Linked DNA regions of Oryctolagus cuniculus. The protein of the gene in region 2 binds, or shares a complex with, the protein of the main gene of each other region. Links are inferred from orthologs where the notes say so. Each region holds a gene or a part of one and is shown on either strand. Other genes may lie near its edges.

Region 1 (4,112 bases), on a different chromosome or scaffold from region 2:
AGAGAGAATGGAAAAGATACAAGGAATCCTAAAGGAATCGAGAGAGAGGGCACAGTCATGTCCATATACGATCAGCCCCTCCCCTGCCCCCCGCAGGAGCGAGCGGGAACTGTGAAAGCCGAGCCACCGCCTCCCCGAGTAGCCACCGCCCCCCTTGGCCGTCAAGGCGTCCAGGTTGTTCCCCCAAATCTAGCAAGAGGAGAAGGCCGGAACTGCCACAGGCACAGATAAACTGAAGCAGGCCCGAGAGAGTCTCAGGACGAGGCAAGCAGGACACCTGTCCCCCCCCAGCTGGGGCTTGCTGCCAAGGCGGGGTGTGGCCCTGGTCCCCCACCAGGGACTGGGGACGCTCGCCCCTTTCTCCCCTTCCCAAGCCTGTGTGGCAGGCAGGATCGCACCTTCGCCCCCACCCCTCCTCGTGGGTTCTCCTAAAACAGCCCCTTCTGCCCCAGTTCCCACGAATGCCTTTGGCCATGTCTGGCACCACCCTTGGCAGGGAGATGAGGAAGGGAACCTGCATCGTGGCTGCAAAGGGGTGAAATCCGCCGTGCAACAGGTGCGCGGAGGCCTATCCAGCTGCCAGAACCTCGGCCCTTCTCCAGGGTCGGGCGACCCCGCCCCCCAGCTGCGCGGCCCCGCACTGCGGGGCCCGCGCGTACGGGCTGGGGACTGGGGTGGTTGCTTCCACAGCACTGGCCTGGGGTCGCCAAATCCCTTCCTCCGCGGTTGCAATGCAAGGTTTGGCTTTCGGAGTCTCCTGGGACGCGCCGCCATCTCACCTGGGCCCCCTCCCCCGCCTGCCGCTGCCCGGTCTCTCCGTTTTCTGGTCCCCGGTTCCGCTCTCCAGCCTGCGGCCGCCCCAGCGCCCGAACCCCGGCCCGCGCGGGTCGCTGCCCGGCTCCGCTCGGCCCCTTCCCCGCCCCCGCCCAGCCCTTTGTTTCCCGGCGGAGCAGTTTCCTGGGTTGCGGAGCGTCTGGGAGCCCGCAGCGCCCCTCGCCCCGCCTCCAGCCCGCTCGGATCCGCCCGCCGCCTCTCCGCCCCTCCCGCCCGCCGCCCCGGGCCCGTGGGTGCTCGGGGACCCAGCTCCCGTCCGCGCCCTCCCGCGGCCCAGGCCCGGCTGCCCCCCGCGGCCACGCCGCGCCGCCTTCCCGTGAGGGCCGGGTGGGCGGGCGCTATTGTTGCGGAGCCGGCGCCGACTCCTTGGCGGCGCTCGGGGTGGGCCCGCGGGTGGGGGGTGGGCAGCTGCGGTGCGAGCCCGAGCAGGCGTCTCGGTGGCAGCTCCGTCCCCGGCGCGCCCGCCGCCGCCGCCCGCAAGGCTGCGGGGCTCGCTGGCGTCCCTCGGGCGCGGCCCTCCGTCCTCGCCCCTGCCTCGGGGCCGCCCCCGCCCCGGCGCCGCTCGCGTTCCCGCCCGGACTCCCCATGTATGAGGACTCCTACGTGCCCGGGTTTGAGGACTCGGAGGCGGTGAGTGCCCACGCCGGAGCGGGGGTGGGGGTGGGGGGTTGGGGCGACACCTGGGGCTCCCTGGGCCCTTCCCCCAGTTCGGGACTTTGACAAACGCCTCAGTGGCGGGGCAGGGCGTGCAGGGGGCGCTCTGGGAAAGCGGGAAGACAGATTCCACGCCGAGGGCGCCCGCCCGCCCAGACCCGGGGGGCCGGGGGCCCTTGTGGCGCAAGGCTGGAGCAGGTGGCTCCGCAGCCCAGCACGGACGGGGTCGAGGGAGGGAGAGAGGCCGGAGGCTGAGGGCGCAAGGGTTTCCCGCGACGTCTGGAGTTTCAGATTCTGGATTGATGGGGGCTCTTGGGCAGGGGGCCGTGCCACACTTTATGTGCTGTAAATGAACGGCACACCAGGGACCTGAGGGTGTCGGGTACCAAGCCGTCTCCTCAGAGGATTGTAAAACTTGAGGCGGCCCAGTGTCTCCTGCCCGCCCCCGCTGGCGCATCACCATAGCTCACCCCTTCCTCTAGCCCGTTTTCTCTCCTGGGCATCCAGCACCCTGGGGGGTGGGGGGGGGACACCTGATTGCACCCCCACCCCATGCCCAGTGCCCAGCTGCGGCTTGCCTGCCACCCAGCACCTATGGAGGGCCAGGCGGTGAGGCCAGAGGGGCTGGAGGGGGCCCGGGGCTTGGATAGGAAGCTCTCTTGGCTCAGAGAAATCAGGCAGCCGATAAATATTTAATTCTCTTCTTTGCTTTTATCTCCTGACCCACTGAGACAAATCAGCTCATTAGGCAGTGATTCCCGGAGCTCAGGGAGAGTGCCTGGAAAGATAGGGCCCAGAGTGGGGCAGCTTCTAAGCCCCCCTTGGAGCTGCCAACCCTGCCACAGCACCTCCTGGGAGAGGTGCTGGTGGTCGTGGGCCGCAGCCTGCCTCTTCAAGCCTCCAGCCTTCTCTTGCCTCCAAGCCCAGGATGGATGAGTTGCTAAGGGGCAGAGCTGGCAGAGCTGGCAGTCCTTGCCTGGGACCTGACTGCTCCTGGGGCCGGTTCTCCCAGGGGGACCTCTGGGGCTGATTGCACAGCAGCTGCAGTGCAAGGCTCTGGTGGACACTTCTCTCTGACACTTGAAGGGGACAGCTGGCACAGCCCAGGGTGCCAAAGTGAGCTCTCTGTAGGGCTCGAGGGCCTTCACGGGACAAGATAGACACGTGGACGGCTGTCTGAGGGTGAGCCTGCTGCCTTCCCAGCTGTCTCAGCGTCCTGGATCACCCTCTTCCCCCCTCCCCGCCACTTCGCCTCCTCTCTCCTGGCTCCTTGCTCTCTCCCTGAGGCCCCCTCTGAAGCAGTAGGAGGGAGATCAGTCTCTAAATAAATCCACCGGCTCATCTCCCTCCTCTTCTTCCCCCGTGCCAGGCGAGAGGAGCTGCAGCCTGCCCACACACTCACCAGGCAAGGGGGGCACCACCCGTGCCAACTTCTGACAGCTCCAAAGTGCTGAGCCTTTGGCTGTTTTGCCGTAGTGGGGTAGAGCAGAGGTAAAAGATGCAAGAATGGGTTTGCTACGCAGCCCTGGCCATAGCATAGCGTGAGAGGTGGGTGAGCCTTGAGGATTTGGGAGTGGAATCATGGATGGAGGAGTCCCTTCTGAGTATAACTCCGAAACTTGTCGGGAGAGCTCCTGTGATTGCCACTGGAAGGTGAGAGGTCAGGTAAGCCAGACGCACCCTGCACTAAAGTTACCCAGTTAGGCTGAGAGCCCTACAGCAGAAGGAAAGCCGAGGCTCCTCGCCCAGCACCTGCTGGGCGTCTGCAGTCTCCGATGTTTAGGCGCCAAAGTGAGTGGCCGTCCTGCCTCTGCCTCCCAGCCTGCTGGCCACTGTCCAATTCAGCGTGGCCCACAGAGCTGTTTCGCGTGTCCTGAGAGCCCTGGAAGGGGGTCTTCCACCACATCCAGCGGTTTCAGCACAGCGTCTTTCTGTCCCGCTGCCAGACCAGTCTTATTTTGTTCTCAGGAAAGATGGACAGCCGCAAGCACGCTCTACTCATCTATAAAATTAAAGACCGCCCCTCCCTGCCCCTCTATGCAATCTTCACATCTTTGGTCTGCTCCACACCATCATTTAGGCTCGAGGGCCTGCCGTGCCTCCAGCTCTCTCACCTAGGGTTGGGCTGGGGCAGAGAACGTTATGGGCAGCAGATGTGCAGTTTTGCCTTCTCCCCTGAGAGTCTGGCCTCTGCCCCCCCCTCCCAGAAAATCATCATGCACAGTAGCCTTGTGGGAGTGGTGCTCACCCTGAGAATATGCCAGAACCCCTTCCCCTACACACACACCAATACACACACACACACGTGCACACACATGCACGGACGCAGGAACCCTTTATCTAGTTTCCTGCTTTCTCTGCTACCAGCATCCTAGAATTAAGGGAAGAATCACTTTAGGCTTCTGCTCATAGCTGAGGGGTGGGGGTGTGTGTGTGCAGCACTGAAGCAGAAAACACAAAATTCCCTTTTCTCTGGGCAGAGGGAAAAACCCAGACGATGTAAATTCCAGCCTCTTGCCTCCAAGCCCGGCTTCTCTTGCTCTTTAGTGTCTCTCCCTCATGGCCTCAGACATGGCACACACAAACACACACATAAACCCTGCCAACCTCCAAATGTACCCTCA
Region 2 (4,236 bases):
TCGCCTCCCAGGGTGCACTTCACCAGGAATCTGGAGCCAGGAGTGGGGCTGACACTCCAAACCACACGCTCCAGTGTGTCCTAACCACGAGGCCAAACACCTGCCGTTTCGCAGGTCCCTGGGAAAGTAAAGTATTCAAGCCCCAGCTGCCCTCCGCCTTCAGTCCGTCTGTCCATCCATCAAACCTCTCAATAAGCATCTGTGAAGGTTCTGGGAGGACCTAGAGTGAGTGCCTCACAGCCTCAGTGACCTCAGCCTCCGAAGCTCAGAGCAAACCCATCCACCAGTGGTCTGTGAAGAACATGCTGACGCAGCCATCCTGGATCCACCGCCCGCCATGCCGCCAGCCCAGGGCACCACAGCCAAGTGCTGTTCTGGAAGCCGGGAGCCAGCACAGTCAGGTTCTGGTGAGGGCTCTCTTCCTGGCTTGCAGATGGCAGAGAGGAAGCAAGTGAGCTCTCTGGGCTCTCATCAGGGCCCCAAGCCACCACTCTTACCAGACCACCCCCCAAAGGCCCGCCTCCAAACGCCATCCCACTGGGAGCTGGCACATCACACCACCCCACTGTCTGGGCCGCACTGTCTGCTGGAAGAGCTGAAACCAGGACAGAATCCGGTGCCCCAACCGGGACTAGAACCGGGGGTGCCGGCGCCGCAGGCGGAAGATTAGCCTAGTGAGCCGTGGCGCCGGCCTGCATTTAACTTTGTAAGTGAAAATACAGCCAGGAATCTTTATGACCTGCCTGGAAGAGGAGGCGGCGCTCAGAGCAGTTCCATAGAAACAGTGGTGCCGCTGAGTCCAGCTGTATTCTCCGGGCCTCTCTCTGTCTCTAAGGGCGGTTGTTCCAGCACACGTTCCCTAGCCCTGAACAGGGACAGGAACAGGAAGAGAAGTGAGGAGGTAGAGGTGTTCTCATAGTGAGGTCACAGTTGGCTGAGGAACATGCATGCAGATTCCCAGGCCTGGGCGGTGGGGCTGGGCTCCTGTGCGGGCTCAGGCACTGCGTGGGAGGGGGCTCCAGAGGCCCTGGGCAGAGGGCCCTGGGCTGTCCCTAGGCAAGACCCTGGGTCCCCTGACTCCCCGGGATGAGGACCCCATCTTGGCAGCTGGCTTGCCCAGTGTGAGACCAGGAAGCAGCAGGGCCTCCCCGGGGGCCCTGTGCTGGCTTAGCAGGACCTCTGCAGCCAGAGCAGGTGCATCACCCGACACGAGGTGGCCCATCCCTCGCCCCCGTCCACTCCAAGTCACTCTGTAAAGCCTCCTCCTGCCCCACCCTGGCTCCAAGAGGGGAAGAAAGCGCTGAAACCCGAGCAGACGCCGTCCTGGGCCCTGCTGGAGGCATTAATAGAAGCCTCGCTCAGGCCCCTGACGTGTCTGGCAGCTGCTCAGCCCCAGCCCGCGTCTCCCAGCCCCAAGGCCGGCCCACTCTGGCTCAGCCGGGCACACTAAACTTAGCTTCCACCCCCAGCTCCGGAGCCACGGCCACCACCCTAGCCGGGCCGCCACCTGCACGGGCAGGCGCCGCCGCCAGACCCTACCTGCAGCACCCACCCCTCTGCAGCCGCCATGTCCCCGACGGAAGCCCCAAAGGTCCGCGTGACCCTCTTCTGCATCCTGGTGGGCATCGTGCTGGCCATGACGGCCGTGGTGAGCGACCACTGGGCCGTGCTGAGCCCCCACATGGAGAACCACAACACCACCTGCGAGGCCGCCCACTTCGGCCTGTGGCGGATTTGCACCAAGCGCATCGCCCTGGGCGAGGACAGGAGCTGCGGACCCATCACCCTGCCTGGGGGTAACGTATCCATGCCCTGTCCCCTCTCTGCCTCCTGCCTGTCGCAGGTGCCCCGGAAGAGGTGCCCGTGGGAAAAAAGGCAGGTTTCTCTGCCTCGGGTCCAAGCAGCACCCCAGCCCTCCCTGCCCAGGGCAGACAGAGCTGCGCATGGCACGGCCATGTACGGAGGGCTTACGTTTCCAGCTATTAGAACATGGGGCCATGCGCCCAGAGCAGACAGCTGCACAGATGGGACAAGAGGCCCAGGACGAAGACGCAGGTCCACCAGACCAGGGCCTCTGGCTCAGCAGGGGTCACAGCCCATGTCCCCAGGCTGGGTGGCCGTGTGCCCCCAGCCCGGCAGGTTCATTGCTCAGTGCCCAGGCAAGGGTGCAAACAGGGCCAGCTCCAGGGTCTGCAGTGCCTCCTGCAGAATGAAAAGGCAGGGCTCCTAGTTTCCGGCGACAAAGCGTTTCAGGTAGGCGGCCGCAGGGTGTGGGGCGCTTCTGGGGTGGGTGTGACTGTGCAGGCTGCACCCCTGGAAAGTGGGATGTGGCAGCATGCAAGCCGGCTGCCTGCTCGTGGGAGCCCACAGACCTCCCGGAGGGGCCCCCTGAACTCAGCTCTCTCAGATTCCAAAGTGTCCCCTGTCCCACAGTGTCACCCAGCCACACGCTGCAGGTGAGCCCTCGGTCCAGGACGTGGGGCGTGAGCAAGACAGATCCCTGGGAAGAGTGTCGGTTCTGCACGTGTGGGGCCCACGGAGTTCCAGTGAGCAGAGCGTGTGCCAGGGCAGCGGGTGCTGTGCGGGGAGCGGAGGCCTGGGCCCCAGTCACGCGCTAGCCGCCTGCTCCCTAGAGGAGGCTTCTGGGCAGACAAAGCCCAGCTCAGCTCCTCCTGCTGCCTCTTCTATAAAACAGGAGACTTGGTCTCAGCCACACACGATCCCTCCCAGAGCTCACCAAGGTCCCTCCAAGGCGGCAGCCGGCCAGGCTGTGAGTGACACCGTCCCACCTGACATGCGTGTTCAGAAAGGGCGTCCTTTAAGGCGGGTGGCGCTGAGCCCCCAGAGGTCTTGCAGTCTGCCCAGCCCCTAGCCCCATGCCGCCCTTTCCTCCCCCTGCCACTTGCTCCAGGGATCCCCTGCCCCGCGTGCCCCCGGGGGGCGTGCAGAGGACTCGTAAATCCTCAGCTGTCTTGGAAACGCTGAGTCCAGGGCTGGGAGCTTTGACAGGCGTGGGCATGTGCTCATGGGCTATCGCATAGCGCAGATGCTCATGCCCTCGGCCACCGCTGAGCACGCCCGTAAACACACGCCTCCTCCAGCCAACTCCCTTGGGCAGGGCAGGGCGGGGCAGGGCGAGGCGGCTCCTCCAGGGACACTGTCATGGTCCTAGCTGCTGTCCTTGGAGCCATCTGCCTTTTAAAGTCAGAGCCGATGAGCAGGGCAGCGGGCAGAGTCCACACAAGGAAGAGACAGACTGGCCAGAGGTGACCAGGCCAGCCCCAGGGGACCGACACTTGGCCTTGAGCCTGAGCAGCGTCCATCTCTTTGGCCTCTCCACGCCGCCCCCGCCCCAGGCGTGAATCATGCACTTGCGGCACTCAGCACTGCCTTCCCTCCAATAATCCTCCCAAGCATGTCCCCCCGGCCTTTTTCCTCTTTTGCAAACAGATGTCTGCTTCCTTCCCAATGTACCTTTACCTTCCTTAATCTCCTCGGGACCACCGTTTTCTGGAGCGAGTTCATACATCTCTCATTTATTTGTTATTAACCAAAGCAACAACAAAGGCACGCAAACGTAGCACTGTGTGCATGTATTGTTGTGAATGCTTTTCCTAAATTCACTTGAAATGACGTCAGAAAAATAGGACAGAGTAAGGCATGCCTGCCCCCAAATCTTCCCCATAAAAGCCATGAGGATTCTGGCAAAAATTGACAGGACACTGGACATTAACCAAATCTCACAGAATTCCAGAAAAACAAGGGAAGCTCAGGAGGAACAGAGACTTGCCCATTCCCACGCACCCTCCCCAGGTCTGCCGTGGCTTCAACATCTCACAGTCATCACCAACATAGCAGCCCAACAGCCACTGAGGGGGACAAATGGCCAGCTTTCTTTTACGGCTCTGTTTTCAGAGCGGTCATTGTGCGACCTGTCCTGTGGCTCCCTGCAAGTCCCCACTTACAAATCGCCTCTATCTGACCTGGCTCTGAGCTCTCCAGTGCCACCAATCTTTCTCCCAGGGAGCATTTGTTGAAAACAACTGGAGCCAACTGTGTAACATCATGGCTTCTTGAGACAGCACAAAACAGTTGGTGCTAATAATGGGATAGCCCAAACGCTGGAGGATATGATGTCCGTTGGCAGCTTTGGAAAGTTCCAACATATTCCTGGGCACCTCGAAGGCCTTGTGCATGCACGGTGCTGCCAACAGGCTCAGGAGAGACCTGAGGTCC

Evidence for each region. Proteins that work in one complex are often made in the same cells at the same time.
Region 1: CACNG1 (region 2) and CACNB3 share a complex: the UniProt entries of both Homo sapiens proteins name them as parts of the calcium channel complex. The link is inferred for Oryctolagus cuniculus from reciprocal best matches to the Homo sapiens genes CACNG1 and CACNB3.

What each region holds. Positions count from the first base shown.
Region 1 is NC_091442.1:52,305,291-52,309,402, forward strand, and holds the start of CACNB3 (voltage-dependent L-type calcium channel subunit beta-3), read left to right. Parts: upstream 1-1,258; 5' UTR 1,259-1,419; coding exon 1,420-1,464; intron 1,465-4,112. UniProt on the Homo sapiens protein: Regulatory subunit of the voltage-gated calcium channel that gives rise to L-type calcium currents. Increases CACNA1B peak calcium current and shifts the voltage dependencies of channel activation and inactivation.
Region 2 is NC_091448.1:13,144,002-13,148,237, forward strand, and holds the start of CACNG1 (voltage-dependent calcium channel gamma-1 subunit), read left to right. Parts: upstream 1-1,426; 5' UTR 1,427-1,567; coding exon 1,568-1,796; intron 1,797-4,236. UniProt on the Homo sapiens protein: Regulatory subunit of the voltage-gated calcium channel that gives rise to L-type calcium currents in skeletal muscle. Regulates channel inactivation kinetics.